Linked DNA regions of Macaca mulatta. Each later gene encodes a partner of the first gene's protein in a complex. Links are inferred from orthologs where the notes say so. Each region holds a gene or a part of one and is shown in the gene's direction. Other genes may lie near its edges.

Region 1 (8,347 bases):
ACAAGGAAGAAAGTTCTCCAGTTATTGCTGCTGGCTGGTATCTTGTGACTGCAGCCTTTGGAATTCTACAAGGAGAGGAAAGCAGAGCTGAAACAATAATAGAAAAAGTATAAATAAGTGCTTATTCTTCAAAATTAGGAAGAAAAAACAATTTGTGCTATACCATGATTGTATCTGGCCTAGAGGCACTGAAACTTCTAGACCTGCCTGTCCACTAGAGTAACAACCAGCCACATGTGGTCCCTGAGAACTTGAAATGCAGCTAGTCCAAACTGAGATGTGCTGTAAGTGCAAAACACACACTAGGTGTTGAAGATTTAGTACAAAACAAGAATGTAAAATGTATTATTAATATATTTACATTATTGTAAAAATATGTTGCAATTATATCTTAGATATACTGGATTAAAATTATTGAAGTTTCACCTGTTTCTTTTTGCTATTTGAATGTGGCTACCAGATAATCTAAAATCACATCTATGGCTCACCATCTGTGGCCCACATTATATTTCTATTGGACAAAGCTGCGCTGGACTACCTGTTTTTTGGGATCATAGATTTTCTTACCGTTTAAACCAGTGTAAATTAGATTTTAATGTTTTTCCTATAGAAAACATCCTACTAGATACAGGAACTGCTATATATTTTTAGTTAGCCTTTTTACCTTTAAAATATATGGTGATATAGCAATATGTAAGTTGGCTTTTCTGTGGTATTTGCTATTTCCTCACCCTTATAATTTTCTACCTCCTAAATATAAGCAGGATTTCTCCCATCACCCATAATTTAACCTCCAAAGTACAAGCAGCCCTTTAAAGAACTAAAAAGTGTATTAAAGGGCTGCTTATACTTTGGAGCCCTTTAAGGAACTAGAAAGTGTATTAAATGGAATTTTCAAACATACACAATTATTAGTAACCTGATTGCCACACTCCTTAATGACAGGCAGGAAGCCTTTGGAGGACTTGTTACCACACCGGGGAAATTATTGCTCTCCCCAAATCTTTTGTTCACTACTATCACAGATATTCCATGGAACAACCACAGGAGTGTAATTCATCAATTCAGAGTTTTTCTGAATGTCTAATGGAATTAAAAAAAAAAAAACTGGGGATTTATCAGTAGACATTAAGATAATGTGATGTGGCAGAGGCCTTAGGCCTTAGTGATAGGCAGAGGTCTGCCACATCACATTATCTTTTTTTTTTTTTTTTTTTTGAGATGGAGTTTTGCTCCAGTGTTGCCCAGGCTGGGGTGCAATGGCACAATCTTGGCTCACTGCAACCTTTGCTTCCCAGGTTCAAGCAATTCTCCTGCCTCAGTCTCCTGAGTAGCTGGGATTACAGGTGCCTGCTGCCAAGCCTGGCTAATTTTTAAAAATATTTTTAGTAGAGATGGGGTTTCACCATGTTGGAGAGGCTGGTCTTGAATTCCTGACCTCAGGCAATCCACCTGCCTTGGCCTCCCAAAGTGCTGGGATTACAGGCATGAGCCACTGCACCCAGCAGATTATCTTAATGTTTACTGATAAACCCAATTTTAAAAAATATTTAGGGTCAATATAATTTCCTCTCCTAAAAACAGCATATAGAAAATGTGTTAAACTCAAAAGCAGAAAATATAGTTTAGGACTGAAGGAGTTAGATACATTAAGAAAACCTTAGTTAATCCTTTTAACTATGTCTGGCAATATTCCATGTAAAAAAAGGTTTAGAAACTAAAATATATAGTAATTTTGGAAAATGAAAAATTGGATACAATTTATTTCAAGTTAACTTCTATGATAAGAATATTTGAGCATCATAAAACTCATAGGGAAGATGCTGAGTAATATTTGGATTATTTTCAAGTATAATTACTTCACATTTTATATGGCTAAATAAAACATGGCCAGGTGAGGTGGCTCATGCCTGTACTAGAAAAAGCTTTATCTTTGAAAAAGAGGTATAGGTAAGTCAGCTAACATTCTTCAACACATTATAAGCAAAGAGAAATAATTTACAGTTATCTGGAAGGGCATACTTTCTCTTTTAAAATTAACATTAAGAACCAAACTAACCTCAGGTCATTTTAATTTCCTCCCACGACAGTATCTCATTCTAGCTAAACCACATTCACACACACTATTAGCAAACCTCCCCACCTCATAACAATTAGCATTGTCCCTGACTAGAGAGGAAATGTATGTAAAGTGGCTCTATCTCATTTTAAAGTGACAAAGAATGTATTTTCTCTCACAAATCACTACAGCATTTAAGACTATGATCTTTCTAGATAGATCAATTTTTTCATTCAATTAGCAAATATTTTTTGTGTATCTCCCATGTTCTGGTACTAGGCACTGGGACACAATGACCAGGATAGAAAAAGATCACTATCATGGAGCTTTCAATCATACAGGAATAAAGTGAATTTTGGAAATGTTAATTACATCTTAAGAGAATTCTCTTAAATTTAGGGGCAATTGGTAATATTTTAGAGGATAGAAATTAAATGTTAATGGCCTTGATGCTCTACCAGATATTTTAAAAATAAATGGAAATAAATAGAAATAAGTACCAACTGTTACCCAGTTATGTCAAAATACTAAAAATATGTGTTGATGAATACCTGACCCTCCAAAGAAAAGACAAGCACAAAACAGCAAAATAGTAGAGGTGGAGTTAAAAAAAAAGTCAAAGTATTTAAAATTACTTGTACATGAGAAGCAGGAAACAATACTTCAATTATGTCTACTTTAACCAGATGCTCAGTCTATCAGACAATTCTGTCCAAAATGAACCTGTGCTTGCAGAAGAACACTTCCTTCTCTGCTTACATTTACATCTAAATCAAGCATATAAAAAGGAATCACCCTTGTTTCCTCAGGAGTATTACAGAACAGAAGGAAACCCAGAGGCACAATTCCCCTACAGGGAATTATATTAAACAAAATATAGACTTTGGGCCAGGCACGGTGGCTCACACCTATAATCCCAGTACTTTGGGAGGCCAAGACAGGCAAATCACCTCAGGTCAGGAGTTGGAGACCAGCCTGGCCAACATGGTGAAACCCCTTCTCTACTAAAAATACCAAACTTAGCTGGGGTAGTGGAAGGTGCCTGTAATCCCAGCTACTCAAGAGGCTGAGGCAGGAGAATCGCTTGAACCCTGGAGGTGCAGATTGCAGTGAGCCAATATTGTGCCACTACACTCAAGCCTGGGTGACAGCCTAGACTCCATTTCCAAAACAAACAAACAAACAAACAAAGAGAGGTTTAGAATTATATAGTGAGCTCCATGTCCTCCTCACTCCACTGATTTGGGTTCTTTAAAATCCATTGTATAGTAGCTACACATTCTTGTATTGGCACCAGATTGGCTAGACCCTAGGAAGCATCCGAGATGTTTCCAGAAGCAAAGACGCTTACTGCCAGGCGTCCCCCATCTCCCGGAATCACCCGGAAGTCTAGAAGCCATCCGGCCCCACAGCGATCCCTTAAAAGTGCTGGCTTAGCGGGGGACGAATCCGTGTCTTTCTTGTAACTTCCAAGCGCTAAATAGTTTGAAACCAACAGCTCTTCGAAAACACTATCATTTTCATCCCAGAAAAGCAAGTTCTCGCGAAAAGACGAGTTTCACGCTGGGCAGCGTAATTGCGCTATTGCGCCTGCGCGCGCCGGGGCTCCGCCCTTCCGGCCGGAGGGGCTGTCACTCACATCCACCTCCCGCCCCGCGTCGTGACGTAGCACTTCCGTTTTCTCTGGGCAAGCGGTCGAACGGAGGGCCGGCGAGGTGCCGGGTCTGGTTCTCCGAGCTGCGCCTCTCGGCAAGATTTCGCGTTGCCCATCCTGGGCTTTCATCAGTAATCGATAGTGGATCACTCTGCCAAGCGGCAGGAAGAATTAAGGAAACGACAAGGAGACGCTTGGCTGCCTCCCGCTTTGCTCCTTGCGGCCTCCTCTTCCCTTCGCTCCGGCCCGGTGAAACTGAACTTATAATCGTCACTGGATTGTAAGTACCCGAGGCGAAGAGAGCTCACTGAGCCCTGATGTTTTGAGTGTCTGTTCCGGGAGAGTTTGTAAATTGAGAGTATCTCTGCTGGCCTTTCTGGGCCGAAAACCGTTCCGCGGGAGCCGCCATTTGCTTTCCTGCTTCTTAGCTAGGTAGCTGTCTCCGCGTTGTCGGGCAGCGGCACCTAGAGGTTGGGACTTGGCATTGCATCTGATTTAATGAACTTAAGTCTGTGAATAAGCCTTTGTGTTAACGACTGGTATTTGGTCACAGCATATTTAGAGAAAAGACTTGGAGCTTAAATAAAAACGAAGGCAAAATAGACGCTAAGCTGCTGATCTACAGAGAACTTCTTGTAATTAAAATATTTCAATTCATAGCGAACTGGTGTTTTAAACTATTGCAGTAGCTGGAACTTTTTACGGTAACCATCATTTATTGGAGAAGTGAGTCACAAAGAAATAAAAATGAGTAAAAGCAAAGATGATGCTCCTCACGAACTGGAGAGCCAGTTTATCTTACGTCTGCCTCCAGAATATGCCTCTACTGTGAGAAGAGCAGTACAGTCTGGTCATGTCAACCTCAAGGACAGACTGACAATTGAGTTACATCCTGATGGGCGTCATGGAATCGTCAGAGTGGACCGTGTTCCATTGGCCTCAAAATTGGTAGACCTGCCCTGTGTTATGGAAAGCTTGAAAACCATTGATAAGAAAACCTTTTACAAGACAGCTGATATCTGTCAGATGCTTGTATCCACAGTTGATGGTGATCTCTATCCACCTGTGGAGGAGCCAGTTGCTAGCACTGATCCTAAAGCAAGCAAGAAAAAGGATAAGGACAAAGAGAAAAAGTTTATCTGGAACCACGGAATTACTCTGCCTCTGAAGAATGTCAGGAAGAGAAGGTTCCGGAAGACAGCAAAGAAGAAATATATTGAATCTCCAGATGTGGAAAAAGAAGTGAAACGATTGCTGAGTACAGATGCTGAAGCTGTTAGTACTCGGTGGGAAATAATTGCTGAAGATGAAACAAAGGAGGCAGAAAATCAAGGCCTGGATATCTCTTCTCCAGGAATGTCTGGTCACAGGCAGGGCCATGACTCATTAGAACATGATGAGCTTCGGGAGATATTCAATGACCTCAGCAGCAGCAGTGAGGATGAAGATGAGACCCAGCATCAAGATGAAGAAGATATAAACATCATTGACACTGAGGAAGATCTGGAGAGACAACTACAGGACAAGCTAAATGAATCAGATGAACAGCACCAGGAAAATGAGGGAACCAATCAGCTGGTTATGGGAATTCAGAAGCAGATTGACAACATGAAAGGCAAGCTCCAAGAGACCCAGGACAGGGCAAAACGACAAGAGGATCTCATCATGAAAGTGGAAAATCTGGCTCTCAAGAACAGATTTCAGGCTGTACTGGATGAGCTCAAACAAAAGGAAGACCGAGAAAAGGAGCAACTCAGCTCTTTGCAAGAAGAGCTAGAATCACTCCTAGAGAAGTAAAAAGAACTGATTCTTAATTTCAGTGTTCAGACTGATCAGCATTAGAAAATTCTTGGCTTTATTACTTGTACTGGATATTAACACCTTGCACTTCCTAGTCCCTCTAATGCTGTGTGTTCTGTTAAGTTCTTTCATTTGTTTATAGTTTTGTTTTTCAGCAAATTTACATTGTTTTGCTAGGTGTTCATCCTATAAGAAGCAGGATTGTATAGGCAGAAAAATGATAGTAGGAAAGTTGCAGGATTAGTGGAATGTATGGTTCAACCTTAATTATAGCTCCACTGCAGGACTTTGCTGTTTCTCCATTTTCTAGAAGCTGCTGTTGCTGCCTTATGATGACATGAGATCAATAAGAAGAACCTAGTCTAGAGACAGTGATGCTAGTTTGCATATGTTTTCCCATGCAATAGCTGTTTTCCCAGTTACTCAAAGCAGTTTCCCATATGTAGAGATGCAAATTTTATTAAGTTGTTTACAATACAATAAATAAAAGCATCTGTTTTTCACTTTGTAGTGTATCTTGTTCTTTCATGGTTGGTGGGAGTCAGGTCCCTTTTGAGGTGGTTTCGTGGTGGAGTTTAGTGACTAAGAAATTTGATCCAGTTCTGCAGGTAGAGGCAGTTTGGTTTATGAAAAAAAGCAACACAGCAGGGGTAAAGAAATTGGGAATTGTCATGTTTGCATCATATTAAGATTCCAGTTCTATCTGATCTACTTGAAAGCTGGGAAACATTAGATACAGAGCTTTCTTAAACTACCCTAATTTTTGTAGATGAAGGCCTTTGTGCCTTTTTTAAAAAGCTTACTAAATCTACCTGCACAAAATGTTGGAAACAAAGCAGTGGTTATCAAGTGCAGTCCAATGAATCATTCCATTGGTTTGGATTAAGATTTTATTTCTATTTTTCTTCAGTTGAGTTCTTATAATTAATAATCTGAGAACTGAGGTCATTTATCAATGTCATTTCATCAAAATTGCTCATAAAGTAAGTCGGTACCAAATTTCTCATGCTTTAAAGATAATTTAATGCCTCACAACATGAGCTATTTTTGAAAAATCAGTTACTGATAAAAGAGGCAGAGTTGTATGCAATTTGTTTCTGACAGGTTGGTTTATGAGAAGCTTGGGTTTGAAAATAAAGTCCTTTTTTTTTTTTTTTTTGAGATGGAGTCTAGCTCTGTCGCCCAGGCTGGAGTGCAGTGGCACGATCTCAGCTCACTGCAAGCTCCGCTTCCTGGGTTCACACCATTCTCCTGCCTCAGCCTCCCGAGTAGGGACTACAGGTGCCCACCACCACGCCCAGCTAATTTTTTTTGTATTTTTAGTAGAGACGGGGTTTCACTGTGTTAGCCAGGATGATCTCACTCTCCTGAACTCATGATCCACCTGCCTCGGCCTCTCAAAGTGCTGGGATTACAGGCGTGAGCCACCGCACCCGGCCTTTTTTTTTTTTTTTTTTTTTTAAGGACAAAGTTTTGCTCTTGTTGCCCAGGCTAGAGTGCAATGGTGTGATCTTGGCTCACTGCAACCTCTGCCTCCTGGGTTCAAGCCATTTTCCTGCCTCAGCCTCTTGAGTAGCTGGAATTACAGGCATGCGCCACCACACCTGGCTAGTTTTATATTTTCAGTAGACCCAGGGTTTCACCATGTTGGTCAGGCTGGTCTTGAACTCATGACCTCAGGTGATCCGCCCGCTTTGGCCTCCCGAATTGGTGGGATTACAGGCCTGAGCCACCACACCCAGCCTAAAATCCCTTTTACTTGTATCCGACAGGAAACTATATTAAAATGTTTTTTTAAAAAAATTAGTTACCTAGTCCTCAGGTCTACAATTATATATGCTGACATTTGCAGGCTTCAGAAGGCTAGTTTATCTTTTTTTTTTTTTGAGATAGAGTCTCGGTCTGTTGCCCAGGCTGGAGTGCAGTGGTGCAATCTTGGCTCACTGCAAGCTCCGCCTCCTGGGTTCACACCACTCTCCTGCCTGAGCCTCCTGAGTAGCTGGGACTACAGGCGTCCACCACTATGCCCAGCTAATTTTTTGTGTTTTTTAGTAGAGACGGGGTTTTCACTACGTTAGCCAGGATGGTCTTGATCTCCTGACCTCGTGATCTGCCCGCCTCGGCCTCCCAGAGTGGTGGGATTACAGGCATGAGCCACCGCGCCTGGTCAGCTAATTTATCTTTTAACTGAAAACGTTTTTATAAGTTTGTTGTTTTTTTTTTTTTTTAGATGGATTCTTGCTGTGGAGTACAATGGTATTATCTTGACTCACTGCAACCTCTGCCTCCCAGGTTCAAGCGATTCTCCTGCCTCAGCCTCCCGAGTAGCTGGGACTACAGGCATGCGCTACCACGCCCAGCTAATTTTTGTATTTTTAGTAGAAATGGGGTTTCACCATGTTGGCCAGGATGGCCTTGATCTCTTGACCTTGTGATCCACCCGCCTCAGCCTCTGAAAGTGCTGGGATTACAGGCATGAGCCACCGTGCCTGGCCGTGACTAAGATTTTAACACAGAATATGTAAGCTTAAGCAAGATTTCCCTCAATATCTAGGTTTTGTATTGTCTTGAGGTTTCCGAATAATATATATTAAACAACAACAACAAAAAAAACAGTTTAGGATGCTAGGTGACAAAATTTCCTGTTTTGGTAATCTAGGTATTTTGCTACACTTAAAAGATTGACACCTGAAAAGCTCCCACCATATCTGGCTTTACACTGGATCATTTATCAAGTAGTTTATTCTTACCAAGATCTCACCAATATTGGCAGTTCCATCAATAACAGAAAGGAAAGATTCTGGATACAATAACAAAATAGTATATTGATCTCA
Region 2 (7,806 bases), on another chromosome or scaffold:
GAAAAAAAATTTTTTTTAATGTAAAAAGTTGAGAAAAGAGCATAATGGGCTGAGCGCGGTGGCTCACGCCTGTAATCCCAGTACTTTGGGAGGCCAAGGTGGGTGAATCACCTGAAGTCAGGAGTTCAAGACGAAACCCCGTCTCTACTAAAAAATACAAAAAAAAATTAGCTGGGCGTGGTGGCTGGTGCCTGTAATCCCAGCTACTCGGGAGGCTGAGGCAGGAGAATTGCTTGAATCTGGGAGGCAGAGGTTACAGTAAACTGAGATCTTACCACTGCACTCCAGCCTGTGAGGCTCCGTCCCCAACAACAAAAACAGAAAAGAGCATAATGAAGTGACTTACGGGCTTTAGAATCAGATAGACTTGGGTGTACATCATCACTCTGTCACTTAATAGCTTGGGCAAGCCACTGAATCTCCTGAACCTCAATTTCCTCATTTGTGAAATGAGATAACAGTTTGTACCTCATGGAGTTGCAAATGTAAGTGAGATATATATATAAAACATTCAGTGCTGGGGAGATTATAAGCTCTTGGTGAGTTATGGGTGCCCTTAAGGACTTTTGTTGGGGAGTCAGGGCTAATTCCCCATGCAATAGATATCATCACATTATGTAATCAAATGCTAGATTGTGTGATACAAAGAATGAAGGGGAAAAGCCACTTTTTTTTTTTTTTGAGACAAAAGAGTTTCACTCTGTTGCCCAGGCTGGGGTGCTGCAGTTTCACAATCTCAGCTCACTACAGCCTCCGCCTCCTGGGTTCAAGCAATTCTCCTGCCACAGCCTCTCAAGTAGCTGGAATCATAGCCATGCACTACCACTCCTGGCTAATTTTTGTATTTTTAGTAGAGACAGGGTTTCACCGTGTTGGCCAGGCTGGTCTCAAACTGCTGACCTCAGGTGATCCGCCCACCTCTCAATGTGCTGGGATTACAGGCGTGAGCCACCGCACCCAGCTGAAAAGCCACTTTTAAAAGGAAATGTGTTGAGATTTAGAAGCCCGGGTGTGGTCTCACAGAGGCTTTTCTGCATGTACAACATATTTCCCTGTTTTGAACTTTCGGGGGATGGGATAGGATGAGGGTTGGAAGTATTTATGGTGTTTCTTAGGGATCAACAACTATGAAAGGAAGTAGGAGAAAGGTTTGGGCAGAGGGAGAAGTGGAGTGCAATGCAGGCCAAACAAAGAACTGGACAACTTAGCCAGGAACCCTGGAGCATCATTGCCTATCAAGCTGAAAAGGCCCTGCCTTTATACTCAGGTCTTGATCAAACACTAGATGTGGGCTACCCCAAGAAGGGTGATCTTGGGCAAAGTAATTCTCTGCAGCTGATGTTTGGCACTTTTAAATACCAAATGTTTTCCTAAAGCAGTGATCTGAATCATTTTGGCTTCAGAACTCCTATATTTATTCATTTAGAGATGGGGTCTCGCTGTGTTGCCAATGCTGGCCTCAAACTTCTGGACCTAAGCCTCCCACATAGCTGGGACTACAGGCATGTGCCACCATGCCCAGCTCTCAGAATCCCTTTTTATTTTTATTTTTATTTTTTTTGAGACGGAGTGTCGCTTTGTCTCCCAGGCTGGAGTGCAGTGGCCGGATCTCAGCTCACTGCAAGCTCCGCCTCCTGGGTTCCCACCATTCTCCTGCCTCAGCCTCCCGAGTAGCTGGGACTACAGGCGCCCGCCACCTCGCCCAGCTAGTTTTTTTTGTATTTTTTAGTAGAGACGGGGTTTCACCATGTTAGCCAGGATGGTCTCGATCTCCTGGCCTTGTGATCCACCTGTCTCGGCCTCCCAAAGTGCTGGGATTACAGGCTTGAGCCACTACGCCTGGCCAGAATCTCTTTTTATTAATAAACATTGAGGACCCCAAATAGCTTTTGTATATGTGTATTTGCCACGTTAGAAAAAACAAATTTTGGGACTGGGCGTGGTGGCTCACGCCTGTAATCCCAGCACTTTGGGAGGTTGAGGTGGGTGTATCGCCTGAGGTCAAGAGTTTTGAGACCAGCCTGGCCAACATAGTGAAACCCTGTCTCTACTAAAAATACAAAAAATTAGCTGGGTGTGGTGGCGGGCACCTGTAATTCCAGCTACTCTGGAGGCTGAGGCGGGAGAATTGCTTGAACCCAGGAGGTGGAGGTTGCATTGAGCCAAGATCACACCATTGTACTCCAGCCTGGGCAACAAGAGCGAAACTCCATCTCAAAAAAAAAAAAAAAGAAGAAGAAAAAGGAAATTTCGAAAATAAGAACGTACGATTACATATTCTGTTATTCATCAGACCCATGATGTCATCAAAAGTCACATAGACTCAGGAAAACTACCTGAGAGAATGAGAGTGAAAAAGTCAAATAATGACTTAATTTTATCATGAAAATAGTTTTGACCTGTGTGGACTTTAGAACAGATTTTGGGGCCTACCACAGGTTCCACTACTTTTTGAACTTTGTCCTAAAGGAATGAATTAATAGTTCCCAAGAGATAAGAATGCAGTTCTTGGAACAGTCTTGGAATTTAGAGTTTAAAAGTCATGGATAGAGGCTGGTGTTAAGTGACTTGCTCAGGGTAGCAGGGGAATTGGTGGTAGGTCCCCTGTTAGACACCCTTCCCTGTCAAGCACTACTTGCTTTTATTTTCTGAGCCACTTAAAATCTGAGCCAACATTTTATCCCTAGAGCAGGAGTTCTTTACCTTTTGAGGCCCCTTTATACATTTGATAAAATCTGTGGACCCATTCCCCAAAAAATGCTTTTTTTGTGTGTAAAATTCAGCACAGCTTCAGAGTATTCGTGAAACCTCCCGTCCGCCTTGGAAGCTCATTCACAGAACCGAGCTTCAAAACTCCATCTTAGAAACCTTCCCCCCCTTTTCCCCAAAGGACTTTAGTGTGACTCTTAAATAGAGGTTCAGCTTCAGGCAGAAGAAACAAAAATTGCCCATCAGAGAATAAGACCGTTTTGTGTGTGTGGTGGTGAGATACACATAACCAAATTTATCATTTTAACCATTTTTAAGTGTACAATTCAGTGGTATTAAGTATATTCACAATGTTGTGCAACCATTCACAGTATTTCCAGAACTTTTTCATCATTCTCAACAGAAACTCTGTAAACATAAACAGTAATTCCTCATTCTCCCTCCCCCTCCATTCCCTGGTAACTTCTAATCTACTTTCCATCTCTGGATACCTCATGTAAGTAGAATCTTTATTTGTCTTTTTGTGTCTGCCTTATTTCACTTAACATAATGTTTTCTTTTCTTTTCTTTTCTTTTCTTTTCTTTTCTTTTTTTTGAGATGCAGTCTCGCTCTGTGTCCCAGGCTGGAGTGCAGTGGTGCAATCTCGGCTCACTGCAACCACTTCTACCTCCCAGGTTCAAGCGATTCTCAGCCTCCTGAGTAGCTGGGATTATAGGCGTGTGCCACCTCACCTGGCTAATTTTTTATATTTTTGGTAGAGATGGGGTTTTACCATGTTGGCCAGGCTGGTCTCGAACTCCTGACCTCAAGTGATCCACCTGCCTCAGCCTCCCAAGTGCTGGGATTACAGGCATAAGCCACCACACCTGGCCCTAGCATAATGTTTTCTATTTTTTTCTTTTTCTTTTTTTCTTTTTTTTTTTAAGGAGTTCTCGCTCTGTCGCCCAGGCTGGAGTGCAGTGGCGCAATCTCTGCTCACTGCCACCTCCCCCTCCCGGGTTCAAGCTATTTCTCATGTCTCAGCCTCCCGAGTGGCTAGGATTACAGGCACCTACCACCACCCGTGGCTAATTTTTGTATTTTTAGTAGAGATGGGGTTTCGCCATGTTGGTCAGATTGGTCTCAAACTCCTGACCTCAGGTAATCCACCCGCCTCGGCCTCCCAAAGTGCTGGGATTACAGGCCTGAGCCACCACACCTGGCCTAGCATAATGTTTTCAAAGTTCATCTATGCTATAACATTACCAGAATTTCCTTCTTTTAAAGGCTGGATAATATTCCATTGTGTGTATATAGCACATTTTGTTTGTTCATTCACCTGTTAATGGACATTGGGTTGTTTCTACCTTTTGGCTATAGTGAATCATGCTGCTGTGAACATTGGTGTACTAGTAGCTGTTTGAATCCCTGCTTTCAATTCATTTGGGTATATACCTAGCAGTGGAATTGTTGGCTTATCTGGTAATTCTATGTTTAGCTTTCTGAGGAACCGAGAATAAGTTTTATGCCTTTAATCCCCTCTTAGACATTTCAGAAATTGGGAGAAGTGCCAAGTCTTACTGTGAGCACACAGCCAGGACCCAGCCCACACTGTCAGATATCGTGGTCACACTTGTTGAGATGGGTGAGTATACCTTCAGTTTCCAGTTCTTCCGTGCAACTGGAGAGAGAAGTTCCTAGGAGTCAGGCATGTCTGCTAAGTGTTCTTCGTTTCCCTCATGGTTCTCTTGATTTGCTTTGAGCTTGAGAGAGTTATCAAGAGAGATTCCTCTGAACACATCTAAGAGGCCTCATAATTCCCTGTTGGGGAATTCTGCCAGAGCTGCTTTTTGCGTGGCTGCAAGGTCATTGAGTTGAGAGTTTAAGCCATTTGTCCATAATACTACTATTCTTTCTGTATTCAATATCCAGTGGTCTGGGCAGTGATTTTTGTTTTCCTGTCTCTTAGGTTTCAATGTGGACACTCTCCCTGCCTATGCAAAACGGTCTCAGAGGATGGTCATCACTGCTCGTAAGTGACTTTGAACTGAGGTACCTAGCAATTTATCAATTAATGCTTGTGGAATGAAGTAATTGACTATGGTAGGGATTGGATTAGTAGCTACTTCCTTGTTGCAGGCTCTCTTCCAATGTTTGGGGCTACCTACAATATAATCTTTATTTGGGCTAGTGGGATTAGCATGTGAAATTCAGTCACCAAAAGGTAAACCACCTTTGAGATATTGCTGTGTTTCTTGTGCTCTAGCCCCAGAAGGGCAAATGATGCTGCTTGGAAAAATGAAAGTTCTTGTTCTCCTTAGATTAAGGGTTGGTACATTGTGGACTATGGGCCAAACGCAGCCTGCCTCCTGTTTTTGTAAATAAAGTCTTATCAGAATGCACCCATATTTACTTATTATCTGTGGCTGTTTTCATGCTATATTAGCATAGTTTAGTTGTGGTAGAGACTGTACCACATGCAGAATGTAAAGTATTTATTATATGGCCCTTTACACAAAGTTTGATGACCTCTACTTTAAGTAAAACTGGGTGCCATAAGCTGAGTGGCGAGTAACCAGTTTGGGCTTGTAGGACCTGGAGAGAATTAACTGGATTTTTTTCTTTTCTTTTTTTTTTTGAGATGGAGTCTCGCTTTGCTGCCCAGACTGGAGTGCAGTGGCACAATCTCGGCTGACTACTGCAACCTCTGTCTCCCAGGTTCAAGCTATTCTGCCTCAGCCTCCCAAGTAGCTGGGATTACAGGTGCCCGCCACCACACCCGGCTAACTTTTACATTTTTAGTAGAGGCAGGGTTTTACCATGTTGGACAGGCTGGTCTTGATCTCCTGACCGCGAGTGATCCGCCCACCTCAGTCTCCCAAAGTGCTGGGATTACAGGCGTGAGCCACCGCACCCGGCCTGGATTTTTTCTTTAAAGTCACTTTTTTCATGTTGGTATTTTTTTAAAAAACTCCCTCTCAACATATAGCAGTGGAAGGTGCCATTTTCAATCCCCTCTTGTTATCATTAAGCTCACACTTACTGTCCCCAGCTCATTGTTCCTTTTTGTTATCCAAGGTCTGTGAAAAGAGAACCAGCAGCCCATGTAACTTGCGTAGCTCCTCAGCATGCTGTTTTACATAGTTACTGTGGCCATAGCCATCCACCTCTACCTAAGAGGCTTGTGGGCAGATTGTTGTCAAAGGGAATGTCAACCAAGATTAGCCAGCAGGGCTGGGCATTGTATGCCATCAAAGACTGTTTATGGATTGAAATACAAAATGCAACTTGTTTAGAAAATTGAGGTCTGGCATTTTTTTGAGAAAATGAAGCTTTGGGGAGAGACCATAATCTGTAGAAATCAGGGTCTTGGGTGGAGGGGTAATCAATTGTGACTCTGTTGCAGCTCCGGTGACCAATCAGCCAGTGACCCCCAAGGCTCTTACTGCAGGGCAGAACCGACCCCACCCGCCGCACATCCCCAGCCATTTTCCTGAGTTCCCTGATCCCCACACCTACATCAAAACTCCGGTGAGTGTTGAAGCCACACTGGGGCTGTGTGTGGTGTAAAGCACAGAGTCAGTTTCTACCGACTGTCATGCGGCAGTGTCCAGTCCAAAAGTTTGTTGATGAAAGGGTGGTTCAAAACTCAGAATGTGGCCAGGCACGTTGGGCTCACACCTGTAATCCCAGTATTTTAGGAGGCCGAGGCAGGAAGATCACTTGAGCCCAGCAGTTCAAGACCAACCTGGGCAGCAGAGCAAGACCCTGTCTCATTTGAAAAATAAAGAAAGAAAGAAAAAAAGAATTCAGATTATCTTTCCTCATTGAGAAACAATTGGCAAATGAGAATTATGTTCTCAAGTTTACCAGCTAAAGTGTAATTAACAAAGAAATTGAAGCTGACCCCAGTATTTTCTGTCCTACTGAAACACAAAAGTACATAGCCACATAGGAACAAGACTGAAAAGGTATTCCACTAAATGTTCATAGTAATTTTTAGTTGAGATTTTAGGTAATTTTGTTTTGTGTTTACTTTTCTGAGTTTTCCAAATTTTCCATAATAGGAAAATTATTTTTTCAATTGGGGGAAAAGTTACTTTAAAAATATTTAGTAACGGCCAGGAGCAGTGGCTCATGCCTTTAATCCCAACACTTTGGAAGGTCGAGGCAGATGGATCACCTCAGGTCAGGAATTCGAGACCAGCCTAGCCAACACAGTGAAACCCCGTCTCCACTAAAATTACAAAAATTAGCTGTGCGTGGTAGCATATACCTGTAGTTCCAGCTACTCAGGAGGCTGAGGCAGGAGAATTAAACCTGGAAGGCAGAAGTTGCAGTGAGCTGAGATTGCACCACTGCACTCCAGCCTAGGCAACAGAGCAAGACTCTGTCTCAAAAATAAATAAAAATTAGTAATGATAATGAAATGGAACTTATCACTCTGAGCTCTAGGTCTGAACAAGAAGAAGATGAGTTATCCTCTGTGGTTTGAATGTGTTCTAATTTGCCTGAATGGCAGTTTTACCTTCGGTTGGGAAGGTGTTCTCCCACACTTCCTTTGCTTCTGCCTCCATACCATATAGTGATGGCCATCGTGCGGGCTGCTGCAGCAAGCCCTCATGTCCTCTGGACATTTCTCCACACCTCAGGGTGGGGGAGAGGGGAGTAGTAGCTGCCCAGCTAATGCAACATAGCCCTTGCCCTTGCCCTTGATCAGATCTCTCTATTCCCTGGGCTGCTGTAACAAAGTGCCACAAACCAGGTGACTTAGAACAACAGAAATTTATTGTCTCACCGTTCTGGAGGCTAGAAGTCTAAAATTAAGGTATCATGCTCCCTCTGAAACCTGTAGAGGAGTCCCTCCTTGCATCTTCCTAGATTCTGGTGGTTGGCCAGCATTCTTTGGCGTTTCTTGGCTCATAGGTGCATCACTCCAGCTTTCTGTCTTCACATGGCATTCTTTTTTGTGTGTGGTAGCAGGGGCAGCGGGGGAGACTGGAGTTTTATTATTACTCAAATCAGTCTTCCTGAGCATTCGGGGAGCAGAGTTTTTAAGGATAATGTGGTAGGTCGGGGGAAGCCAGTGAGCCAGGAGTGCTGATTGGTCAGAGATG
Region 3 (7,806 bases), on another chromosome or scaffold:
AAAAAGGCATAGTCTGTTGCTCATAGGCAATCACTTTCAACAATTTTAGCTGTTTCTGTAACATTCTTCTATATTTCTAAGTAATATACTTAAAGAGATACTCTTTGACCCATTAATTTTATAATATCCTTTTTTTTTTTTGAGATGGAGTTTCACTCTTGTTGCCCAGGCTGGAGTGCAGTGGCGCAATCTTGGCTGACCGCAACCTCCACCTCCCGGGTTCAAGCGATTCTCCTGCCTCAGCCTCCTGAATTGCTGGGATTATAGGCATGCACCACCATACCTGGCTAATTTTTGTATTTTTAGTAGAGATGGGGTTTCTCCATATTGGTCAGGCTGGTTTCGAACTCCTGACCTCAGGTTATCTACCTGCCTTGGCCTCCCAAAGTGCTGGGATTACAGGTGTGAGTTATGGTAAATGAGAATTTTTTACACCACTCACATATGTACCATATAACTTTCTTTTTTTATTTTTATTTTTATTTTTTTGAGACAGTCTTGCTCTGTTGCCCAGGCTGGAGTGTAGTAGCACGATCTCAGCTTACGGCAACCTCTGCCTCCCAGGGATTCAAGTAAGTGATTCTCCTGCCTCAGCCTCCCAAGTAGCTGGGATTATAGGCATGTGCCACCACACCTGGCTAATTTTTGTATTTTTAGTAGAGATGGGGTTTTGCCATGTTGGCCAGGCTGGTCTCGGACTCCTGACCTCAGGTGATTCACCCACCTCAGCCTCCCAAAGTGCTGGGATTACAGGCATGAGGTATCATGCCTGCTGGCCCATATAACTTTCCTTACTGTTTTTCTTTTTTTTTTTTTTTTGAGACAGAGTCTTGCTCAGCCACCCAGGCTGGAGGGCAGTGGTGCAATATCGGCTCACTGCAAACTGCATCTCTCAGGTTCAAGCGATTCTCCCACCTCAGCCTCTCGAGTAGCTGGGATTACAGGTGCACACCACCATACCTGACTAATTTTCATATATTTAGTAGAGACAGGGTTTTACCATGTTGGCCAGGCTGGTCTCAAACTTCTGACCTCCAGTGATCCACCCGCCTCGGCCTTCCAAAGTGCTGGGATTATAAGTGTGAGCCACTATGTCTGACCCTGGCTATTCATTCTTAAAGAATCACCCACTGGGCAGGCGCAGTGGCTCAAGCCTATAATGCCAGCACTTTGGGAGGCCAAAGCGGGCAGATCACAATGTCAGGAGATCGAGACTATCCTGGCAAACACAGTGAAACCCCGTCTCTACTAAAAATACAAAAAATTAGCCAGGCATGGTGGCGGGAGCTTATAGTCCCAGCTACTTGGGAGGCTGAGGCAGGAGAATGCTGTGAACCCAGGAGGTGGAGCTTGCAGGAAGCTGAGATTGTGCCACTGCACTCCAGCCTGGGCGACCCAGCAAGACCCTGTCTCAAAAAAAAAAAAGAATCACCCTCTGAAAAGCTGATTTGAAGCATAATTGATGAATTTGGCCCAGTAATATATGGATAAATGTTTAACAACCAGCTCTTTGGAGGAAAATGCCCAATTTGCAGTACTTTATTATTTCTGTGATGTAACTATTTCTACCAACATGACATCACTAAATACAAACTTGGGAAAAGAGGTACATAATTGGCTTTTTTTTTTTTTTGAGATGGAGTCTCGCTTTGTTGCCCAGGCTGGAGTGCAGTGTCTTGATCTCGGCTCACTGCAAGCTCCGCCTCCCATTTCACGCCATTCTCCTGCCTCAGCCTCCCGAGTAGCTGGGACTACAGGCGCCCGCCACCACGCCCAGCTAGTTTTTGTATTTTTAGTAGAGACGGGGTTTCACCGTGTTAGCCGGGATGGTCTCGATCTCCTGACCTCGTGATCCGCCTGTCTCGGCCTCCCAAAGTGCTGGGATTACAGGCGTGAGCCACTGCGCCCGGCCCATAATTGGCTTTTATGAGCAGGTCTTGGTTCACTCTAGCAGACCACAGACTTGATTGACTTCAGAGTAATTTGTCCACAAGTCAACCTTCCTAATGGAAAGTTCCCTAAATGTCAGTATCTGTGAGTCTTTTCTCTGGAATCATTCAATATCTCCAGAGAAAATTCCAGTCTCCTATCTTGAGAGTTTATCCCTTAGTTTCTTTTTTTTTTGAGATGGAATCTTGCTCTGTTGCCCAGGCTGGAGTGCAGCAGCGTGATCTTGGCTCACTGCAACCTCCGCCTCCCGGGTTCAAGCTATTCTCTTGCCTCAGTCTCCTGAGAAGCTGGGACTACAGGTGCACGCCATCACACCCAGCTAATTTTTGTAATTTTAGTAGAGATGGAGTTTCACCGTATTGGTCAAGCTGGTCTCGAATTCCTGACCTCGGGTCATCCACCCACTTCGGCCTCCCAAAGGGCTGGGATTACAGGCATGAGCCATTGCACCTGGCAATATGTTTTTTTTAACTGTCATATTAATGGGATTAGGGAGGGACAGGAGGTCAATTGATCTGCTGTTTAATCAGAAATCTTTCTCTTAGATGGTGTGCATTTGGTTCCCACAGTAAAGATGACAATGAGTTAATGGTCCACCAGAACAAGGAATTTTGTATCTATGGTTGTAATTTTAGTTTGTTTTTGTTTGTCAGCAGAGGAAGCCATGGGGACTCTATGGACTGATAAAAATCTCAGTTTTTTCATGTGTGTGCATATTTATTTACTTATTTGTTTGTTTGTTTTTGAGATGAGGTCTCTATCACCGAGGCTGGAGTGCTGTTCCATGATCACAGCTCACTGCAGTCTCGACTAAGTGGACTTAAGCAAGCCTCCCACTTCAGCCTCCCTAGTAGCTGGGACTACGAGTGCATGCCACCAAGCCCAGCTAATTTCTGTATTTTTTGTAGAGACAGGGTTTTGCCATGCACGTTGCCCAGGCTAGTCTCAAACTCCAGAGCTCAAGCAAACCATATGCCTCGGCCTCCCAAAGTGCTGGGATTATAGGAGTGCCTCATGTAGATATGTAGATTTTTATCTTCAGAATTCTCATCCTTCTCTTCACACAGTCCAATAATAATTGATAGTGATGTGGAAAGAACTCAAGATTTAGACTCAGAACCCTTGAGTTGGAATCCTGGTTCCTCTGCTTTCTTTCTTTCTTTTTTTTTTTGAGACAGAGTCTTGCCCTGTCGCCCAGGCTGGAGTGCAGTGGTGCAATCTCGGCTCACTGCAACCTCCACCCCCTGGGTTTAAGCGATTCTCCTGCCTCAACCTCCAGAGTAGCTGGGATTACAGATGCCCGCCACCGTGCGCAGCTAATTTTGTATTTTTAGTAGAGACAGGGTTTTACCATGTTGGTCAGGCTGGTCTCAAACTCCTGACCTCAGATGATCTACCTGCCTCGGTCTTCCAAAGTGCTGGGATTACAGGTGTGAGCCACCATGCCTGGCCTCTATTTATTTGTTATTATTTTTTAAATTATTATTATTATTTTTTGAGACAGAGTCTTGAGCCACTGTGCATGGCCCTTAGAGACTGGGTTTCTTTTTTATTTTTTATTTTTATTTTTTTGAGACGGAGTCTAGCTCTGTCGCCCAGGCTGGAGTGCAGTGGCGCGATCTCGGCTCACTGCAAGCTCCGCCTCCCGGGTTCACGCCATTCTCCTGCCTCAGCCTCCTGAGTAGCTGGGACTACAGGCGCCCACAACCGCGCCCGGCTAATTTTTTGTATTTTTAGTAGAGACAGGGTTTCACCGTGGTCTCGATCTCCTGACCTTGTGATCCGCCCGCCTCGGCCTCCCAAAGTGCTGGGATTACAGGCGTGAGCCACCGCGCCCGGCGAGACTGGGTTTCAATATGTTGGTCAGGCTGGTCTCGAGCTCCTGACCTCAAATGATCTGCCCACCTCAGCCTCCCAAAGTTCTGGGATTACAGGTGTGAGCCACCATGCCTGGCCTCTATTTATTTGTTATTATTTTTTAAATTATTATTATTATTTTTTGAGACAGAGTCTTGCTCTGTCATCAGGCTGGAGTACAGTGGCACGATCTCGGCTGACTGCAACCTCCACCTCCCGGGTTCAAGTGATTCTCCTGCCCCAGCCTCCCAAGTAGCTGGGACTACAGACACATGCCACCACACCCAGCTAATTTTTGTATTTTTAGTAGAGACAGGGTTTCACCATGTTGGCCAGGATGGTCTCAATCTCTTGACCTCATGATTCGGCCGCCTCAGCCTCCCAAAGTGCTGGGATTACAGGCGTGAGCCACCGCACCCAGCCTATTTATTTTAAAATACAGATGGGGCTCTTGTAATATTGTTGGGCTGGTCTCGAACTTCTGACCTCAAGTGATCCTCCCAACTCGGCCTCCCAAAGTGCTGAGATTACAGGCATGAGCCATTGCGCCTGGCCTTCTGCTTTCTACTTACATGGCCATGAACAAATTAGTCTCTCTGAGTCTGTGAAATCCTCTGTGGAATGAATAAAATCCATGTCCCATTTTCTTCACAGGATTATTGTAAGGACTAAGTGAGATAATGGAAACAAAAGTGCTTTTAAAATACTGTGAGTGAGGAATTCAAATGATTCACTTTTATTTTCTCACTAATAAATAAAGATATGGAGGGCAGGGATTGGGTTAGTTGATTACTGCTGGGTAGAAATTATATGCTCAGTAAGGTATGAGTTGCACTCAACCTGGGTAATGTTTCTTTTGTCCTTCTCATTCCTCTTCCTCACCTTAGCCCAAATGCTGATTCCAGCCTTCTACTAGAAAGCCTGACTAAATACGCAATACAAGCTGAAAGCACTTGTCCCAGCAACAGGAGCCTACCCTGCCAATGTCGTGCTGACTCTCCCCACTTTACCTTCCCCAGATGCTGCTGCAGATTGCTGATGATTTTATCGAGAGTGTGGTGACAGCAGCCTGTCAGCTTGCGCGGCATCGCAAGTCCAGCACCCTGGAGGTGAAAGATGTCCAGCTGCATTTAGGTATGTGGTCTTGTTTCTCCCTGAAGTATATATTCAACTGCTTCTTCAGGACTGCCAGGGAAAGTGCAGTCAGAAGAACCTTCATGCCAGAGTCAGACTTTTGGGCACTGGGATTTATGTATTAATTCAATAACAGCACCAAATAGAAAAGAGAAATCCATCTATGGTAGGGAGAATGAGCCCAGGCATGGGTTTGAAACCAGATTCTGCCACTTTCCAGCTGTATCAGCCTATTTTTCCTACCTAGTATCTCTTAGAGTCTGTTTCCTCATTTGTAAAGTGAGGATCATAATATCCTCCTTACAGAATAATTGTGAGAATTATAGACTATGTCTGTAAAGTGACTGGCACAGGGCCTGCACAAAGTAGGATCTAGTAAATGTAGGTACTGTTATGTCTCCACCATTCAAATGAAACTGTTCCTCAGTGTTCCCTTACAGTTTTAGCTTATTTATGCATTTTCCCCAAGTTTATAATCATAATATACATACAATTTTATATTTTCCTTTTCTACTTAACAGACACTAAATTTGAGTTTGAGTTTTTCTGGGAAATACTCAGCTAACAGTGATAACCATAATCACTTGGAAATTAATAAGCAGCCTTCTGCATTGGATACAATGTGATTAAAAGAAAGATCAGTCTATAACTGTGTGTGTGTATATATATGTATATATTTATGTGGGTGTATATATATAGTATATATAATTTATATATTTATATAAATATATATTTTTATATATTATATATACTTTATATATATTATACTATATATATATAAATAAATATATATATTTTTTGATCGAGTCTCACTCTGTCACCCAGGTTAGAGTGCAGTGACGCCATCTCGGCAACCTCCACCTCCTGGGTTCAAGCGATTCTCCTGCCTCAGCCTCCTAAGTAGCTGGGACTATAGGCCTGCACCACCACACCTGGCTAATTTTTGTATTTTCAGTAGAAATGGGGTTTCATCATGTTGGTCAGGCTGGTCTCGAACTCCTGGCCTCTGGTGATCCACCTGCCTTGGCCTCCCAAAGTGCTGGGATTACAGTCGTGAGCCACCATGCCCAGCCCAATGTATAACTATAGAGACAGGCCAAATGAATGAGATTCGGTGCAGATCAGCCCATGACTAATTATTGAAAGGCTTCCTTCACAGCGTCAAGAAGCTATTGCCTTAGGGATGCATTGGTAGTCTAGGTAAAGTAAGTAACACACTTTGGGTAATGTTGCTGGTGTCTAGAGAAAAGGACAGATATTCTGGTTTTCTATTAATGTGTAGCAGACCACCCCAAAAACAGTGGCTTAGCACAATAACAGTTGTTGATTTTATTCATGAATCTGGGGGTTGACTGGGCTCAGCTAGTTTTACTAAGTCAGGCAGTGGCTGGGCCTGAGATTGTCTTGAAGGAAAGCATACTAGTTTCCTCGGGCTACCTTAACAAAATACCATAAACCTGGCAGCTTAAAACAACAAAAAATTTTCTCTCACAGTTCTGCAGGCCAGAAATCTGAAATCTAAGTGTCAGCAGGATCATGCTCCCATTGCTGCCCCTAGGGGAGAATCTATTCTTGCCTCCTCCTAGCCTCTGGTGGTGGCTGGCAATCCTTGGTGTTCCGTGGCTTGTAGCTACAGAACTCCAGGCTTTGCCTCAGTCTTCACATGGCCTTTTCCCTGTGTGTCTCTGTCTCTGTGTCTCTTCTTTTCTTCTCACAGGACACCAGTCATATTGGATTAAGGGCTAACCCTACTCCAATGTGATCTCATTTTAACCAGTTTCATCTGCAACATCCCTATTTCCAAATAAGATCATATTCTGGAGGTACTTAAGGTTAAGACTGCAACATATCTTTTTTAGGGACACAATTTAAATAACCCATAATGGAAGGCTTCATATCGTCCATGTCTGATGCCTGGTCTAAGAACACTGAAACAGCTGGGATTCTGTAGGCGTCTCCCTCCATCCCTCGCAACCCTCCCATTCCCCTTCACATTCCCCAGTCCTACCCTTCCCATCTTCCCCACCCACCATCTCTCCATATGGTCTCATCCTTTAGCAGTCCCAGGATAGCTAGACTTCTTCGCCAACACGGTGAAACCCCGTCTCTACTAAAAATACAAAAAATTAGCCGGGTGTGGTGGCCGGCGCCTGTAGTCCCAGCTACTCGGGAGGCTGAGGCAGGAGAATGGTGTGAACCCGGGAGGCGGAGCTTGCAGTGAGCCGAGATCGCGCCACTGCACTGCAGCCTGGGCGACAGAGTGAGACTCTGTCTCCAAAAAAAAAAAAAAGAAAGAAAGAAAGAAATATTAGCTGGCCATGGTGGCATGCACCTGCAGTCCCTTGGGAGCTATTGGGAGCTACTTGGGAGGCCAAGATGGGAAGATCACTTGTGCTGGGGCAGTCAAGGCTGTAGTGAGCCAACATTGTGCCACTGCACCCCACTCTGGGTGACAGAGCGGGAAGACCCTGTCTTCAAAAAAAAAAAAAGAAAAAAAAACCTTGGAGAGGCCATGCCCATTTTTCCCATTTGTAATATAATCCCTCTGTGGAGTTAGTTAGTAGCCAGATGTCCACATTCATCCTCCCTGATCCAAGGGGGTCACATTGCACTCCTGGTACTGCCTTTTTGGTACCTTTATCTCTGTACTGGCTTCTTCCTTGCAGAGCGCCAGTGGAACATGTGGATCCCAGGATTTGGCTCTGAAGAAATCCGACCCTACAAAAAAGCTTGCACCACAGAAGCTCACAAACAGGTGAGGAAATGCCAGAGCCCTGGGGACAGCCAAGGCTGATTCCTTGAGCTACATCTCAGAGCGGATAAACACAGCTACCTTCTAGGGGGTCTCCCTTCCCCCATACAGCA
Region 4 (7,806 bases), on another chromosome or scaffold:
CGTTCTTCAGAGACGAGTTTTTGTAGAGATGCTAAGAAGCCTAGTGATATGTTTATTGTGATATAGGAAAATGTTTGTCATACACTTGTTCTTTGGTAAGAAAACTTTAGAATTACTGTGGCTTCATTGCAGATCATGGAGAAGCCTGGGGCCCACTCGGATATACTAGTTACATTTGGAAGGGATAATTTCTTTGTACCTGGGGGTGGGAATTCCTTTTACTTGCGCTTGTTTTACGTGACTCTGCTTATTTTTCAGGCACCTGGAACACCTATCATTGCACGGCAGGTGACCCCAACTACCATAATTAAGCAAGTGTCTCAGGCCCAGACAACGGTGCAGCCCAGTGCAACCCTGCAGCGCTCGCCCGGCGTCCAGGTGAGAGGGCGGGCGGTGGATCTGCTGAGGCTGCAGGGGCCATGAAGCCTGATTTCTTTGATGCAAAGATCAGGCCTTAGGAGTTTTTTTTTTTTTAAACTGGATACTAAGTCAAATTTGGGGAGGAAGGTTCTCCTTGAAGAAAGTGCTGTTTCTTTGACCACCAGCATGGGATAAGTCAGGATCTCTTTTTTTTTTTTTTTTAGTCACACAGAATTTAACACCAGCAACACTGTTCAAGCTTTCCACCATGTTGGAAGCTTTAAAACTATGTGCTTACTAATACTTGATCATAAGGCATGTCTGAAGCAGAAGCAGCCTGCGGTGAGGACAGTGTGTGTGTGCACATGTGGCCTTGTGTGTAACCATGGGGATGGCAGCTGTCGCTGAGATGAATGTGGCCGAGGCGTCGTTCTCACTGTTGCAGGCACATGGACTGTAATTTTCACCGCACCCTGGGAAGCAGATGAGCTCGCTTCTTTCATCTCGTGATGCGGCGCTTATGCTGAGGCGAGGGAGGTTCTGGGACTCACTCCTGGCCATGCCGCCTGCAGGGTGCCTGCCACGCCATGCTGCCACCTGCCACTCACGTCCCGTTCCGTAGTGAGAGCATAGTTCCAGAAGGGTTCTGCACCTACCCAGGTGGCCGCTGGTTTCTAGAACAGCGTTTTCATCTGCGGAGGGGGGCGTGTCCCAGAGCAGGTGCTAGCCCCTCTCCTAGTGGTGCTGATGCTCCTGACAGCTCTGCCTTTGGTCTGCAGAACCCAGAAGGGTTTGTGTGCAGCCGGGCTGTTCTGGAGGGCAGCGGAGGTGCGTGGAGGGGAAGGGGCTGGCTGGTCAGACGCACCTGGTGAGGGAAGCAGCCTTCTCTGGGCAGTCAGCAGGAAGCAGCTGGGAGAAAAGTGGTTCGGGGGTTTTTCTTGGTCTGGTATCTGTGAGCGTCCGTGGATGCGCAGGTCTCTGTGGTGTTGGTCACTGCCGGTGAAGCTCCTGCCGTGAACCAGGCCTGGACGCGCTGCTGACGGATCCAGAGTCCTTGCCTCAGTGCTACAGACCCTGCTCCCATTGCTCAGTGGTGAAACAGAGGCTGAGCCCCGGGGGTGTGGACTTCAGGGGCAGCTTCCCCCCACCCGGCTCTTCCACCCTCACGGGATCTTGTCCCGGCTGGCTGCAGCTGCAGTGGGTGAAAGCGGGTGGAAGGGCGGTTCGGTACCAGGGAGACGTGTGCTGGCCTTTGGTGCGGGCCCTGCCCTCGGTGTTTTCCCTGGAGGAGCTTGCTCTGTCCTGTGCTCTGATTGGTGCGTCTGGATTTTTGGGTACAGTGACTTTTCTGAGAAGGTAGTGAAGCTTATGGTTAAGTTTTTGCATTATACTTAGTGGCAGACACGATCTGGATATCATCTGAGTGAAATATGTGTTCACAGGAGCAGAAGTAAGTGCGAGGAGTCAGTTCTGATGGGAAAGAAAACTCCCAAAAGATGAGATAGGTCCTGGGCACTCCTGGGGTCCGGAAACAGCAGCTTGGTGTGTCGTTTTACGTTTTCTTCCCTGGAGGTTTTTATTTGATGTTTTTCAGTTAAAAAAAAATCCATGCTTATTGTTACAAGTGAAAAGATACACAGACTTAGAAACAGCCCGTCTGCCCTGCTGTCTCCTCACAGCCCTTCCGCACCCCTCTGGAAGCGGGGTTGTGGGGTTGTTCAGAGCTGCTTCCTGCGTGCTGGCGGGGCTGCACCCACCTTGCCGCAGGGAGGGAGCTGCGCTCGCTGCTCTGGAGCCATTCTCAGGCTTACACTGCCCCCTGCTTTCAGAAGCTGCAAAGGAGTGTTTAAAAAGTTGGAGAGAAGAGAATGTTGACGACTAGATTTATACATTGGAAAAGTACTGGTTTAAAATATCAGTAAACATTTGCATTCTGATTATTCGTGTAGAATGGAAATGTGAGGAATTGAGTGCGGGCCACCGAGTTGTCTGAGCTACCTTTTGGTGTCTGGCTGTTCATTTGCTTAGCAAAGCAGCCGCTCCTTTCTGACACTTTGACACTGATGACCCATCATCCTTCATTGCTCGAATCTGCTCTGAAAACTCCCCTTTGTGGGAGGCTTCTTGTTGACACTCACTTTTGGGGAGTAAAGAAAGGTGGGTTTGGGTGATTGCAGGGAGCTGGGGACCCTCCCCTGCGAGAGGCTGTGGCTGTGGAGGCCTGACTGCCCTGTAGCCAGCCTCTGCATCTGGGAGGATGGAGCTTTCAGGAGCCGTTCTTCAGTTGTTTTGATTTCTGAGAGATGGGGATCTGGGTTGTCCGTTAGGATTATTTACTCTGGTCACTATGTGCCTTTTTCCATGGACTTCTGAGGACTGGAGTCTCTGCAGTGCCTGGCTTTGTGAACATCTGTTTTTGATGCAGGTGCAAATCATGCCTTCCTCAGGTGCTCAGGACTGCGGTCGTCAGGGCACAGGGCAGGCGTCCCAGCAGCACTCCCATGTCCAGCTGACTGGCAGGTGTCCAGGGCTCTTGGCTTCCTGGGCGTCCTGGCCACCACAGGGAGGCTTGTTTTCTTTTTCTGGGTGTGAGGCTGGTCTTCCCCTCATTAGCTGGTAGCATGAGATGCGCTTACCTTGTGTTTTGGATTCTTGTAGCCTCAGCTCGTTCTGGGCGGTGCTGCCCAGACGGCTTCACTTGGGACGGCAACGGCTGTTCAGACGGGGACTCCTCAGCGCACGGTTCCAGGGGCAACCGCCACTTCCTCAGCTGCCACGGTAAGAGCCGCTCCTTTCTGTGCCTTCAAAGACGGTCAGGCCCATGGCGCAGGTCAGAAAAGGCAGCCTTGAGACCTCGGGCCGGCTTCTGTCCCAGACTGCTCGCTGCCTGCTTCACAAAGCGATGAACAGTCTGGGGCCCACGTGAGCGTGTGGGGCTCTGCTGCTTGAGGTGGGCCCTGAGGGCCTCAGACTGCAGAAGTCTGCAAACAGCAGAAGCCCAAACACCTGCCTTTGAAAAAGTCACTGGCGTATGGTCGCGTTCAGTCTGTAAAATGGCGGCACCACCCGTTTGGACGGTCGCATTCAGTCTGTAAAATGGCGGCACCACCCGTTTGGACGGTCGCGTTCAGTCTGTAAAATGGCGGCGCCACCCGTTTGGACGGTCGCGTTCAGTCTGTAAAATGGCGGCGCCACCCGTTTGGACGGTCGCGTTCAGTCTGTAAAATGGCGGCGCCACCCGTTTGGACGGTCGCGTTCAGTCTGTAAAATGGCGGCGCCACCCGTTTGGACGGTCGCGTTCAGTCTGTAAAATGGCCGCGCCACCCGTTTGGACGGTCGCGTTCAGTCTGTAAAATGGCGGCGCCACCCGTTTGGACGGTCGCGTTCAGTCTGTAAAATGGCGGCGCCACCCGTTTGGACGGTCGCGTTCAGTCTGTAAAATGGCCGCGCCACCCGTTTGGACTGTCGCGTTCAGTCTGTAAAATGGCGGCGCCACCCGTTTGGACTGTCGCGTTCAGTCTGTAAAATGGCGGCGCCACCCGTTTGGACTGTCGCGTTCAGTCTGTAAAATGGCGGCGCCACCCGTTTGGACTGTCGCGTTCAGTCTGTAAAATGGCGGCACCACCCGTTTGTACACGTGCAGTGTTGGCCTGTGGTGATGGACGTCTGTGAACAGTGAGCCCCACTTGGCAACTTCTTGGGTTTCTTTGCTGCGCACTTTTCGTTGCTTTCATGTCTGCCTCCTATTTGTTTCCTTCTGTGTCCATTTGGATTGGCATAGGTTGTCCTTATGGTCAGCGACATTGCAGCAGGCGTCTTCGCAGAGTCTCTTTTCACTTTTTTCATTATTTGCATAGCTACATTCCTAGACGTGGCCTTGCGGGACTGTGGGAGATGCTGACTTCGGTGGCCATGTGACTGATGTGGCTGGGCCGCCCCTCAGAGCATGGCCCGGGGTTCCACTCCCATCCACAGGCCAAGAGGTGGTGCGTTTTCTTGAAGTTTAGAGGAGAAATATATGTATCTCTTATACATACGCATATTTTATTAACCAAAGGCTGTGACAAAAATCTGCCTTTTAAGATTTTTCACTTATGTCTTTTTACTTTAATCCAGGAAACTATGGAAAACGTGAAGAAATGTAAAAATTTCCTATCTACGTTAATAAAACTGGCTTCATCTGGCAAGCAGTCTACAGAGACAGCAGCTAATGTGAAAGAGCTCGTGCAGAATTTACTGGTGAGAAACCTTGACTTGACATTCCCTTTTCCCTAAGGCCTGTTGCATAGGAGAGACACCTATTGCTGCTGTGACTTGTGCCTGGGAGGCCTGTGCCAGCAAAGGGAGAACTCCTCTGGAAGGCTGCAGGCAGAGGGGGGGGTGCACACCTGTCAGAGGTGTGTGTGGCCTAGCTGAGGAGACTCCTTCCTGGGGCTGGGTGTTCTGGGGCTGGTGCCTGGTGGTCTCCTGGGCTTTGCCATTTTCTGGTGCCTGTGTCCCTTGTCTGTGGCTCTCTTCTCCTCTGGCTGCCCCCACCATGCTGCACTCTGGCCAGGGTCCCTGGCAGCTCCCTTCTGGTCCTCTCCCCACTCCTGTGTGACCTCTTGTAAAATTCCCAGGTGTCCGCAATCCCTGCTGGAACAGGCATTCCGCACCCTGAGCCAGCAGAAGCCCCCTCCCCGTGGAGCAGACCAGCTGAGGCACATTCGTGCTCCAGTGGCAGAGCCGTCCCCCCACCCCTGCCCCCACCCCTTCCGAAACCTCTGTCGCAGTGAACAGCACTCTGTCTCCTGGCCAGAACGTGGGAGGATTCCTGGCGGCCTCCCCTCTCCTTAACCCACAGTCCCAAGCTCTACATCTCTACTCATGGCCGAACTCTTGGCTCTCCACCTTGGCTCTCCCCACGGCTGTCTCATGGCTCAGGGGTATGCTGGCCTCAGTGGGATGGCCTGGGGATCTGGAGTGGCCAGTCTTTCTGTGCCTTCTCCTTGCCCGCCTGACCATGTCTTCCTGAGTCTCTCAGGGTTCAGTCCAGGCACCGCCTTCCCACCCTTGTCGCCTGTCTTCCCGACCTTTATGCCACGCTGGCCTCTGTTTCTGAAACAGGATCTGGCCCTCTTGCTCTGGGCTCCCTTTTATCTGACTGGACTCTGGGCACCGTGACTGCTTGCAGGGGTGAGCACAGCTGTTGTCTGCTCCTGAAGGTGCTGATGCCCTGACTGTCTGGATCCTGTCTGTGTGGCCCCTGGCACGCTGTGACCTCCTGTAGCACTGTGCTTGCAGGGCTGGCTTTGATAATGGAGTTACTTTTAGGCTGATCTGCCTCCTAGCAAAATGCCTGACACCGAATAGGTGCCTGGTAAACACTGAGTAAAGACTGGCATTGAGTAAGAGGCTTAGAAAAAGACGAGAAGTAGACAGGTGACCCTCCCAGGAGGAGACGTGGTCCGCAGCTGGCTGCACTGCGGTGTCCAGGGTGAGCGCCTGTCACACGTGTATCTGTGGAAGGTGTAGCACGCAGACTTTCCCATCTCCTCTGTCCAGTGAAACTCGGGGCGGAATCAGCCGTAAAATACAAGACCAGAGTGATGCGGGATTCAGAAGTGTGTGTGGAATCTCATTCACCAGAATTTCAACATGGATTTTATTTTTAAGGATGGAAAAATCGAAGCAGAAGATTTCACAAGCAGGTTATACCGAGAACTTAATTCTTCACCTCAACCTTACCTTGTGCCTTTCCTGAAGGTAATTTCGAAGGCCCGGGTGCTTGACAAGCAGCAGGGCCAGGGAGGGGTGGGGCGCAGATGCTCCAAGTGCACAGGGGTGAGGATGCTCCAGGCACGGAGGGTGCACAGCGCCTGTGCTCCCTGCGGGGGTGGGGCCGGGGACTCAGTGCCTGGGGACAGAATGTTAGGTGTTTTTCTGTAAAGCAGGAGCTCCCCTGACACTGTGGCCTTGTGGTTCTGTTGTGCGCAAGGTGGTGAGAAGGGCGCGCGCTTCCTGAAACCGAGGGGAACAGGGAATTGTGGTTCTGTTGTGCGCAAGGCGGTGAGAAGGGCGCGTGCTTCCTGAAACCGAGGGGAACAGGGAATTGGGGTAGTGTTTGCAAAACTGGATAGGACCAAGGGTTTTAAGAGTGTCAGGCTGTCTGTTGGATAATCATTGGTATGAGCACATTTTAAAATTTAATACATATATTTGTACATATTTATGAGGTGCATGTAATGTTTTGTTACATTCATAGAATCAGGGTATGTGGGGTCTATCACTTTGAATACTTATTTCCATGTGTTGGGAACATTCAGAATCTTCTCTTCCCGTGATGTTAAAATATTTTAAAAACTATTTTAAAAATATGGCTCTTTTTGTTTGTTTTCTTAAACACATTTTGGACATTTGCTATCAGGAATAATCCCGCCTAGTGGGAGGGCGGGATGGGGTCCTGGCCCCTGACATCCAGACGTGCTGCTGTGAGGGCCAACATCCGTCTTATTTAACTCAAAAATTTTCTGTAAAAGTTGATATTTCTGAATTTTTAAGCAAGGAAAACTGACGCATGAGCAACCCCCTGACCCCTCGTGTCTGTCTTTCCACCCAGAGGAGCTTACCCGCCTTGAGACAGCTGACTCCCGACTCCGCGGCCTTCATCCAGCAGAGCCAGCAGCAGCCGCCACCGCCCGCCTCGCAGGCCACCACTGCGCTCACGGCTGTGGTGCTGAGTAGCTCAGTCCAGCGCACGGCCGGGAAGACGGCGGCCACCGTGACCAGTGCCCTCCAGCCCCCTGTGCTCAGCCTCACGCAGCCCACACAGGTCGGCGTCGGCAAGCAGGGGCAACCCACACCGCTGGTATGGAAGGGGCACCTTACTGGTCCACACAGCCCACCGTGCCTCTGCTCCCTCCAGCTTCTTAGATAAATTGGCCATGGTTCAGAAACCTTTTCCAAGCATGCAGGAAGGCTCCTGCTAGAGGAAGCTTAGGCATTACCTTAGTTAAAATAGAAATCAGGGTTGAGGCCCTGGGATTTTGTGTTTTGTCTCAGTAAAATGAAATAGTTGAATTGGCTTTGAACCACTGGCACATCCCCGCCTTGTCTTGTCTAGGGATGTTACTGGTGTAAACGAATGCAGTGTGTTTTTAGAGGATCTTGTAGATAGATGTTCTCTTGGGTTAGGAGCAGCGGTCCAAGCGTAAGACACGGGCACCCGCGTGGGACAGGTGGGCAGGAGACTGGAGACGGTAGCAGCTCACAGCGCAGGGTGGATTTAGGTGGGTCCCGGGAGGCAAAGCTGCGGCTGCTCGTAGCGGTTCACGTATGTGCAATGTGGATCTGGCTTTCTTGGTTTTGTAGTCACGACGTTTGCTCTGGAGCTAGAGAAAGGACGTCTTCGCCAGAAGAGTTACATTTCGAGCACATTCCCTTTCACAGGCAGAGGGATTCACCAAA

What was found.
Region 2: TAF7 (region 1) and TAF8 share a complex: the UniProt entries of both Homo sapiens proteins name them as parts of the TFIID basal transcription factor complex. The link is inferred for Macaca mulatta from reciprocal best matches to the Homo sapiens genes TAF7 and TAF8.
Region 3: TAF7 (region 1) and TAF12 share a complex: the UniProt entries of both Homo sapiens proteins name them as parts of the TFIID basal transcription factor complex. The link is inferred for Macaca mulatta from reciprocal best matches to the Homo sapiens genes TAF7 and TAF12.
Region 4: TAF7 (region 1) and TAF4 share a complex: the UniProt entries of both Homo sapiens proteins name them as parts of the TFIID basal transcription factor complex. The link is inferred for Macaca mulatta from reciprocal best matches to the Homo sapiens genes TAF7 and TAF4.

What each region holds. Positions count from the first base shown.
Region 1 is NC_133411.1:150,151,107-150,159,453, reverse strand, and holds TAF7 (transcription initiation factor TFIID subunit 7), read left to right. Parts: upstream 1-3,728; 5' UTR 3,729-4,460; coding exon 4,461-5,510; 3' UTR 5,511-6,020; downstream 6,021-8,347. UniProt on the Homo sapiens protein: The TFIID basal transcription factor complex plays a major role in the initiation of RNA polymerase II (Pol II)-dependent transcription.
Region 2 is NC_133409.1:140,102,592-140,110,397, reverse strand, and holds part of TAF8 (transcription initiation factor TFIID subunit 8), read left to right. Parts: intron 1-4,235; coding exon 4,236-4,334; intron 4,335-4,658; coding exon 4,659-4,721; intron 4,722-6,095; coding exon 6,096-6,220; intron 6,221-7,806. UniProt on the Homo sapiens protein: The TFIID basal transcription factor complex plays a major role in the initiation of RNA polymerase II (Pol II)-dependent transcription.
Region 3 is NC_133406.1:212,284,937-212,292,742, forward strand, and holds part of TAF12 (transcription initiation factor TFIID subunit 12), read left to right. Parts: intron 1-4,826; coding exon 4,827-4,941; intron 4,942-7,607; coding exon 7,608-7,696; intron 7,697-7,806. UniProt on the Homo sapiens protein: The TFIID basal transcription factor complex plays a major role in the initiation of RNA polymerase II (Pol II)-dependent transcription.
Region 4 is NC_133415.1:114,804,738-114,812,543, reverse strand, and holds part of TAF4 (transcription initiation factor TFIID subunit 4), read left to right. Parts: intron 1-258; coding exon 259-378; intron 379-3,018; coding exon 3,019-3,138; intron 3,139-4,476; coding exon 4,477-4,599; intron 4,600-6,015; coding exon 6,016-6,105; intron 6,106-6,958; coding exon 6,959-7,207; intron 7,208-7,806. UniProt on the Homo sapiens protein: The TFIID basal transcription factor complex plays a major role in the initiation of RNA polymerase II (Pol II)-dependent transcription.